2 linked regions of the Ovis aries genome follow. Each later gene encodes a partner of the first gene's protein in a complex. Links are inferred from orthologs where the notes say so. Each region holds a gene or a part of one and is shown in the gene's direction. Other genes may lie near its edges.

Region 1 (3,810 bases):
TCCTGGTTTGGAACCAGTCTGTTGTTCCATGTCCAGTTCTAACTGTTGCCTCTTGACCTGCAATTTGTGCTAACAGTTTGTGTTATACTAAATTGCTGAATGAACACAGAGTGGTCAGATGGGCCAGTGATTAGTTAGGAGTCATGATGGCAGCTATGAGACTTCAGCAACTCTACAGAAAGCCATTAACCAGCCATTCATGAGCAGTGCAAAGCTGTATTGGCCAGAAACAAATGGAGGAGAACTTGGCCTCTCTTCCCATCCACCAGCGCTCCACATGGCCTGTGGATGTAGGTGGTGACCTGGTCTAACATGTGGATTCAAGAGCTGAGCCCTCTGAGGAAAGGCCACAAACTAGAGGTTCAAAGGCATTGCTGCAGGAGATCCAGGTTCCATGAGTGACAGGTCTTGACAGGAAAGAAAAAAAGCAAGCTTTGTGTCTGATTCTTTTAGAGAATTTGAGAGGAGCTTAGCAGAACCCTGGGAGTTTCCTTTAAAAGTGACAGCATTGGTAATTCCAGGCTCTCTTCTGAGTACCTACCTACAGCTGGTATGTACTCTGCTGTCCTGACTGGGCTTTCTGTTTTAAGAGACTCAACCAGTGGGAGATAAATGTACCCACACCATTCCCATCACACTCTCTCCCTTGTGTTTCTTCATGACTATTGTGGAGTCTCTCCCCTCCTGCTCCCCTTCCCACCCCTCCACCCTAGCCTTGCCCTGCTCCTGCCCTTCCCACCTCAGGCACAGGCACAGGCACAGTGGCCTCCTTACTTACCTTGCCACCCTCATGCTGCTGTGCCTCTCTCTCCCTAGCACTCTTTGTGGCTCTCTTTTGCCCATGATCTGGTGAATGAAGGTCCTCTCCTCCCCTGGCAGGTTCTCTTCTGCCTTTTCATTGTTGTTGCCCATTTCACTGTCGTTGTCACCGACCCACCCCTTGTAACTCTGCTGCTCCCTGAACACCCTGCATGTGCCTCTAGCCCATGTTATTCCTGGGGAGGGCGTCCCTGTCTCCCCTCCCCCCAGTTCATTAGGGTTAGTGGAAATCCTGACCGTCCTTCAGTTCAGTTCAGTTACTCAGTCATGTCCAACTCTTTATGACCTCATGGACTGCAGCACCCCAGGCCTCCCTGTCCATTACCAACTCCCAGAGTTTACCCAAACTCATGTCCATTGAGTTGGTGATGCCATCCAACCATCTCATCCTCTGTCGTCCCTTTCTCCTCCTGCCCTCAATCTTTCCCAGCATCAGGGTCTTTTCAAATGAGCCAGCTCTTCTCATCAGGTGGCCAAAGTATTGGAGTTTCAGTTTCAACATCAGTCCTTCAGTGAACACTCAGGACTGATCTCCTTTAGGATGGACTGGTTAGTTAGAACTAATCATTGCTCTTCATTTCATCAGCAGTTTACATGAAGCTTTTTTTACTTCAATAAAATTGCACATGGCATAAAATTAACATTTTAACCAATTTGAACCTCTTTGTTTACTTGTTTATTTTTTGTAATTTTCTTGGCAACACCCTGTGGCATGTGGGACCTTAGTTCCCTGACCAGGGATCAAACCCTTACTCCCTGCATTGGAAGGTAGGGTCTTAACCACTGGACCACCGGGGAAGTCTCCCGAACCTCTTTTAAAGCATCCTTTAAAGGATTGCCATCCTGCTTTATAACTCAACTAATTTCTAAGAAATGTTTCTTAAAGACAGGACTGGGTCTTATTTCAAATCACCACATCTTGTTCAGTATCTGAAATACGGCAGGCAGTCATCAAGTTGGGAAGCCTCTCATTTTCTTTAGAGAAATGTCTTGTCAAGTCCTTTGCCCATTTTTAATGTGGGTTATTTGTTTTTTTTGTTGTTATTGAATTATAGGCTCAGTGGGATATTCTTGCTTCTTAAATGCATAATGCATTTAATAATAATTTAATAATCACATTTATAGAGAAAGAAAGTAGAGTGGTGTCAGGGTCTGGGAATACCAGGGTCTGGGAAAGGGGGAATAGGCAGTTATGGTTTAATGGACACAGAAGTTTCAGTTTTGCAAGACGTGGAAGTCTCAGAGATGAATTATGGTGATGGCTGCACAACAGTGTGAATGTCCTTAACGCTACTGAACTGCACCCTTTAAAATGTAAATTTTATGGTATGTTATTTTAACCACAATTTTAAAAAGAAGAGTATCCCACTGAAGTCTGGGTTATTAAGTTAAAAAGCCTTATTATTAGAAGACTCTGTGAGATGAATAAAAAAATTTACACCTTTGGTTTTAATGTACGCTTTGGTTTCTTTCCACAGTGCAGCCTTCATATCCATGCTTCCTATAGCATCTCTCAGAAACTAAACGTTCCAATGGCCCCACTGTCAGAGCCTAATGCTGTTGGCATAGTCATTGCCCATGGTAAGCAGCCCTCCCTCACCTCTGTGGGAAGAACTAGTTGAGCACATTGAAGCTCAGTCATAGCATTGAACCCTGTAAGAAAACCACCATCCGTGGCTTTTACCACCCTTTGCAGAATTTCTTGCAAGATAAACCCAAGAATTTCTTGGGTTTTTCATGGACTCCTATCAGAGAGCAGCAGCATGACCTCTTCCTTTACCAAACTGTTGTGGCCTATTTTTTTTCTTCCAAGAGGCCTGATGGGAAATAATCTGAATAAACTCATTCAGAATTCTTGTGACAGTGAATCCTCTCTGTTTCACTGCTGATGTGTGCTGATGAGATGGTGGGCTGTGTTGTAGGTAGCGTGGGAGATGCCATCTCCGTGATGGTCCCAGATGTGTACATCTCAGATGACGGGGGTTACTCCTGGATGAAGATGCTGGAAGGACCCCACTATTACACCATCCTGGATTCTGGAGGCATCATCGTAGCCATTGAGCACAGCAGCCATCCGATCAATGTGATTAAGTATGCATGAGCTCAGCTCCACCCACACTGTCTGCCCAGAGGGCTACCCCGGGATGTTTTTCAGTTTGTGGGGAAGTTCTGGACCCTGATTCAGATTTAGGCATTCTGCAGAGCTGCAGGGGAGGTGCTTGAAGGGGTTGCATTAAGAGCAACTCAAATTAAATGGCTTTGTGTTTTTCCTCTGACTCTGCTAGCTAACATTTTTAATCACTTAAAAAAAAATGTTCTTCTTTCTTCCCACAAGAATATTATGGATGCATTGAAGCACTCTGGATGGGAAATGACTCCTTAAATACAAGTTCTTATTGTATAATTTCTGTTTATTGATTCAGAAGCCCATTCTTATATGGGTCACTATTCTTTCTTGCCCTTGGAAGAATTTTTATAAATGCGTTTTCTTCCATACTGTTTGAGTGAATCCCGTTTCCTTGTGAACTGCAGGCATTAGAAATTAATATAGTTGTCAGTCGGTAAGCCGTCACCTAAATATGAGAGTTCTCTGATTTGGGATGGAAACAGCTGGAGCAGTTTCCTGATACTCCGGTAAACGCTGGTCCTTTGTCACGGTCTCCCTCTAACTGTGGTTTCAGGTTCTCCACAGACGAGGGCCAGTGCTGGCAAACCTACACGTTTACCAGGGAGCCTATCTACTTTACGGGCCTGGCTTCAGAGCCTGGAGCCAGGTCCATGAACATCAGCATCTGGGGCTTCACAGAGTCCTTCCTGGCTCGCCAGTGGGTCTCCTACACCGTCGACTTTAAAGACATCCTCGAAAGGAACTGTGAGTGTCTTCTTTGACCTTTTCTATCAGAAACTTGTAAACCCATTTTCCTAAATAACCCATCTAGTTCAGTTTCTTCTAACTGGAATAAGAAAATCATGTATATGAAAGAGGATTTA
Region 2 (4,409 bases), on another chromosome or scaffold:
TCCTGCTGCTGGTGAATCTGTTCTGTGCGGTTTTTTTTTTTTCTCCCTCACTGGCTTCCTTGGTGGCTAAGATGGTAAAGAATCTGCCTGCAATGTGCAAGACACAGGTTTGATCCCTGGGTTGAGAAAATCCACTAGAGAAGGAAATGGCTACCCACTCCAGTATTTTTTCCTGGAGAATTACATGGACAGAAGAGCCTAGAAAGCTACAGTCCATGGGGTCTCAAAAAGTCGGACACAACTGAGCGACTAACACTTTCACTTTACGGCTTCCCTGGTGGCTCAGTGGTAAAGAATCTACTTGCAAAGCAGGAGACCCAGGAGACTGCGGTTTCATCCCTGGAGAAGGGAATGGCAATCCACTCCTATATTCTTGCCTGGAAAATTCCACGGACAGAGACTTGTGGGCTATATAGTTCATGGGGTCGCAGAGTCGGATACGACCGAGTACACACGCTCGCTAACGCGCGCATCAACAAATCAATTCCTGAAAGGTAAGGGCTTGACTGAAACTAAGGAGCTACTTCCGGTATGCACCCACACCCACAGTCAGCCCAGCCTGGTGCCACACACCCAGCAACTCCACAAGTCCACTTCACTGAACCTGGCATTCAATCCCCGCCCAAGGCTGCCCTTCCATCTGGTTTTCTAATGCTTTTCCCAATACCCTCTGTCTAGCTACTTCTCCAACCCGTCTCCACTTGCCACTTAAAATCCTCCCAGACTCAGCTTCAAAAAGTGCCCCCAAGGTGGCACTTTTTTCCTGCTCAGATCTAACCAACTACTTCTTCTCTACACACACCTGGAGCACCTGGAACACGATTCTCCTACCCCCTCCCCATCCCCTGCTGTGAGCACCTTGAGGAAAGGACCTGAGGTCTGTTTATCCTTGCCCTCACAACTCTCCTTCAGTCCCCGTTGGGGCCCGGCTGCCGAGCACTAAATCTGCATGGGATGAACAGAATAGAGACAGGATGCACAACTGTTCTAAATCCAAGAGACACCCCTTAAATGCTCTTGAACGCACCCACTAAGGGACAGATCTCTTGGCTCTCAATGTCCCCGAAAAGGAGCTGACTCTCGGGATGGGTTAACAGAAGGCAGCGGGCACCCGCAAGCAGGCTGAGCCGTCCCAGGGCGTCACATGATTCTCCAATCACATGATCCCTAGAAATGGGGGGTTGGGGAGAGAGAGGAAGGAGGGAGGGGAGTGAATTGAGTAGGAAAAGAAACACAGGATCCCAGGTTGGCCCCGCCTTTACGTCGACGAGTAGCCAATGGGAGTGCGACATTCCGGACACCTGACCAATGGAAATTGAAGTGGGTGGGCCATCGAGCCGAGTGGCCCAAGTGGATGAGCTGCCTGACCGCTGCTACCCAGCGATCGCGGACCCCGACGCAGGTAAGGAGGGTGGACTTCGCTTGCTCCTTCTTAGGGGCCCAGCCTGGGGGACGTGGGAGATGGGGCTCCTCTGGAGTTTCAGCGGTGATACAAAAAAAAAGATTCTCTTATAGAAACTCCGATGCACTGGAGGGAGTTTTATGGGTGGTGGGAGTAAACAGTAATTGCAGTGACCCCCATTAGAAGGGGCTCTCTCTCCAGCACCCCTGGAGGCTGCAGCCCCTTCTCCCAAAGCAGAGATCACTCTGTTCTTGAGTCGACTCCGCCCCCGTCGGCAGGTGCTGGTAGTGGTGCTGGTGGGCAGTCCCCGCTGCGCCTGGCAGCAAGCGAGGCACCCGCCCCTGGCCCCCGAGCTCAGAGGGCTGGGAGTAGGGCTTGTGATCCTGGTCTCCTCAAAGACAGTAGGGACTTGGGAGTGGTGATTGAACCCCTGGGATGTGTCTGACTCTCTCTAACTTCCTCTCGTGGGGCTAACTTCCGCCTCCCCCGGCCACTTTTTCTTGCTCTCTCCGCTGTTGGGTTGGCTCACCTTTTGGGAAATCTTTCTCCTGGCACTCGAAGTGGGGGGCTGCCATCTAGTGGAAGATGACGGAGCTGGGGACTTGAAGAGGCAGTGTCCTCCCTCTCTGTAGTGGCAGTGTCGGGTTGGGGTGCCACCACTTGGAACCCTACTGAGATGAACTGGGTTCCCTCTTCCCCATTCTGGTTCTGAGTGTGTGTGTGCGCGCGTACATATATGTGTATTCAGTAGAAGCGTACACTACTTCCAAACCCCAGGATACCCAGGAAGAAGGATGTACCTAAATGAATCACTAGGGTGCTGAGTAGTCAGAGATGTGTGCAGACAGGCATCCCTCCTGGCCAGGGCAGGCCAGCGAGTCTGCAGGGTTATGATTGGACTCCTAAAAAGCAGGGCGGCCAGCTCCCTTTCCAGGGAGCTGTGGGCATTGGGGAAGAGAGTGAAAGGGGCCAAGGTCCAGGACCAGTCTTCTTCAGCCTCTCCTGTACAGGAGATAGCCTCCAGGGGGTGGTCTTTGAGTTGGGGAGAGGGCGGTGAGGAAAGCCAGGTGAGGGAGAGAGGATGTGAGTGACCCTGTGTGTGCTATTCTCTGCCACACAAAGTGTGCAGTGTCCACCCATAGACTGACTGAGAACTGAGGCCTAAAGACAGGAAGCAACTTCTGAGGCCTTCATTCTAGCACTCATGTGCAGTATCCAGGCAGCCCCTGTACCCCACATTTCTGTCTGGGTCCAGTCTACTTGCCCAGAGAAACATTTCTATCCCTCTTCTCTGCTTGGACACCAGGCTTCTATCCTCCTTGGGTTTGGGGGGCCTGTCCCAGGCACTGTCCGTGGTACCACTTGTGAACCCAGGTCCAATATACTCTGGAGCCATCAGAGCCTGTCATCTCTATGTTTTGATATTTGACATAGGCGGGTTACTTCCTATCTCTAAGCCTCAGTTTCCTCCTTAGAAAAGTAAAGGTAATAATTCCTACTTTGCATGGTTGTTACAGAAAAAAAAAAAAAAGAAAATATGTAGAATGTTGTCACTGGCTTCTAACTGGTTCAGCACACATGACTGTTTTGGCCCCTCTAGACAGGGTAAGATCTTCTGGGCCTGCCCCATTGAACTAGCAGGGCTGGCTGAGCTTGGGGGAAGAGTTGTTCAGGAAGTGAAAGGCCACTCCCCTTCAGAGAATGAGGCTTGCTTCCTTCTGCTGATGTGGATGGCAGCCTGGTGGGCACACATGGGCTCTCTACATGCAGCTGGGTTTCTGCTCCAGGATAGGGAGAGGTGGAGGGGAAGGGTGGTGGGAATGTTTGAGGATCCTGAAAGGGCCTGGTGTGGGACTTCCCTGGCAGTCTGGTGGTTAAGACTCCAAGCTCCCAATGTAGGGGGCATGGGTTCAATCCCTGATCAGGGAACTAAGAACCAACATGCTGCATGGGCATGGCCCCCCAATTTTTTTAATTAAAAAATTTTTAAAAGAAAGGTCCTGGTTGTATTGGGGGCCCATGGAGCACAGGTGACCCAAAGGTTGACCAAGCCTATGCGTCTCCTTTGGATGGGGAGGGGACAGTCAGCAGGCAGGTGGTGGCTGGCCTTTGGGGAAGGCAGCCCAGACTCCGTCAACATCATGCTTCCTTTTTCACAACTTTCTCAACCCCGTGGTTGATCATGTCATCATGTGACCTCCCCTCCCCTGCCAGCAGGCCTTAGCAGAGGGCAGGTGTGAACACAGCATTGGGTGAAGAGGCAACTGGAGGCACTGGCTCGGGAAGTGAAACCCTGGCTTTCCTTCAAGGGGAGACTTCAGTTCTTTCTTCCTAGGGCAACTGATGTCTTTCCCACCCCCATGGAGGTGGCTTACCTCCCCACAGCTCAGGCCCACAAAACCCACAGATCTTCCGGACTCTCACATACCCACATCTGCACACACTCAGCCACAGAGATTCAACTGTTAGGCCATGCACTGGGGACACAGATTCACTCACGTACGCATGCCAGCATTCATGCTCATGGATGTACACTCGCTGGTGCACGTGTGACCCCCGCACAGGACACACGTAGGAAGCTGAGCCTCAAGCCCCGCATCTTCTTGCCCGGACAGGCTGTTGTTGTGGAGGCTCAGATGGTCCTGGGCCTTCGGCAGGGGGCAGTGACTGGTCCCAGAATCAAGGGTGGCCTCAGCTTAAGCCAGTTGCCAAATGCTTCTTGGCACTTTGCAGGTGGACCATGTGGACGTTGGTGAGCTGGGTGGCCTTAGTGACAGGGCTGGTGGCTGGAACACAGTGTCCAGACGGTCAGCTCTGCCCTGTGGCCTGCTGCCTGGACCCGAATGGAGCCACCTACAGCTGCTGCAATCCCGTTCCGGTGAGTGCCCTACGGCCCAGGCAAAGAGCTGGCAGCCTGGGATCGGCCCTCTTGGATTGGCCATAGGAGTGGGCCAGGCTCAAGTCCTTCGATTTATCTCCTCGTCTTGCTTCCCAGGACCAGCGGCCG

What was found.
Region 2: the proteins of SORT1 (region 1) and GRN are in contact, whole or in part, in a crystal structure (PDB 8T8S), measured with the Homo sapiens proteins. The link is inferred for Ovis aries from reciprocal best matches to the Homo sapiens genes SORT1 and GRN. Residues at the interface, in NP_002950.3 of Homo sapiens: Leu108, Gly110, Ser111, Val112, Ser113, Leu114, Ile174, Gly175, Pro176, Lys260, Tyr304, Ser305, Phe306, Gly307, Leu308, Phe314, Ala315, Ser316, Arg325, Ile327, Phe350, Tyr351, Ser352, Ile353, Leu354, Tyr395, Thr398, Gly399, Thr402, Phe404; in NP_002078.1 of Homo sapiens: Pro578, Arg579, Trp580, Asp581, Ala582, Pro583, Arg585, Arg590, Gln591, Leu592, Leu593.

What each region holds. Positions count from the first base shown.
Region 1 is NC_056054.1:86,597,089-86,600,898, reverse strand, and holds part of SORT1 (sortilin), read left to right. Parts: intron 1-2,297; coding exon 2,298-2,400; intron 2,401-2,741; coding exon 2,742-2,910; intron 2,911-3,500; coding exon 3,501-3,691; intron 3,692-3,810.
Region 2 is NC_056064.1:43,885,937-43,890,345, forward strand, and holds the start of GRN (progranulin), read left to right. Parts: upstream 1-1,326; 5' UTR 1,327-3,007; intron 3,008-4,135; 5' UTR 4,136-4,142; coding exon 4,143-4,280; intron 4,281-4,397; coding exon 4,398-4,409. UniProt on the Homo sapiens protein: Secreted protein that acts as a key regulator of lysosomal function and as a growth factor involved in inflammation, wound healing and cell proliferation. Regulates protein trafficking to lysosomes, and also the activity of lysosomal enzymes.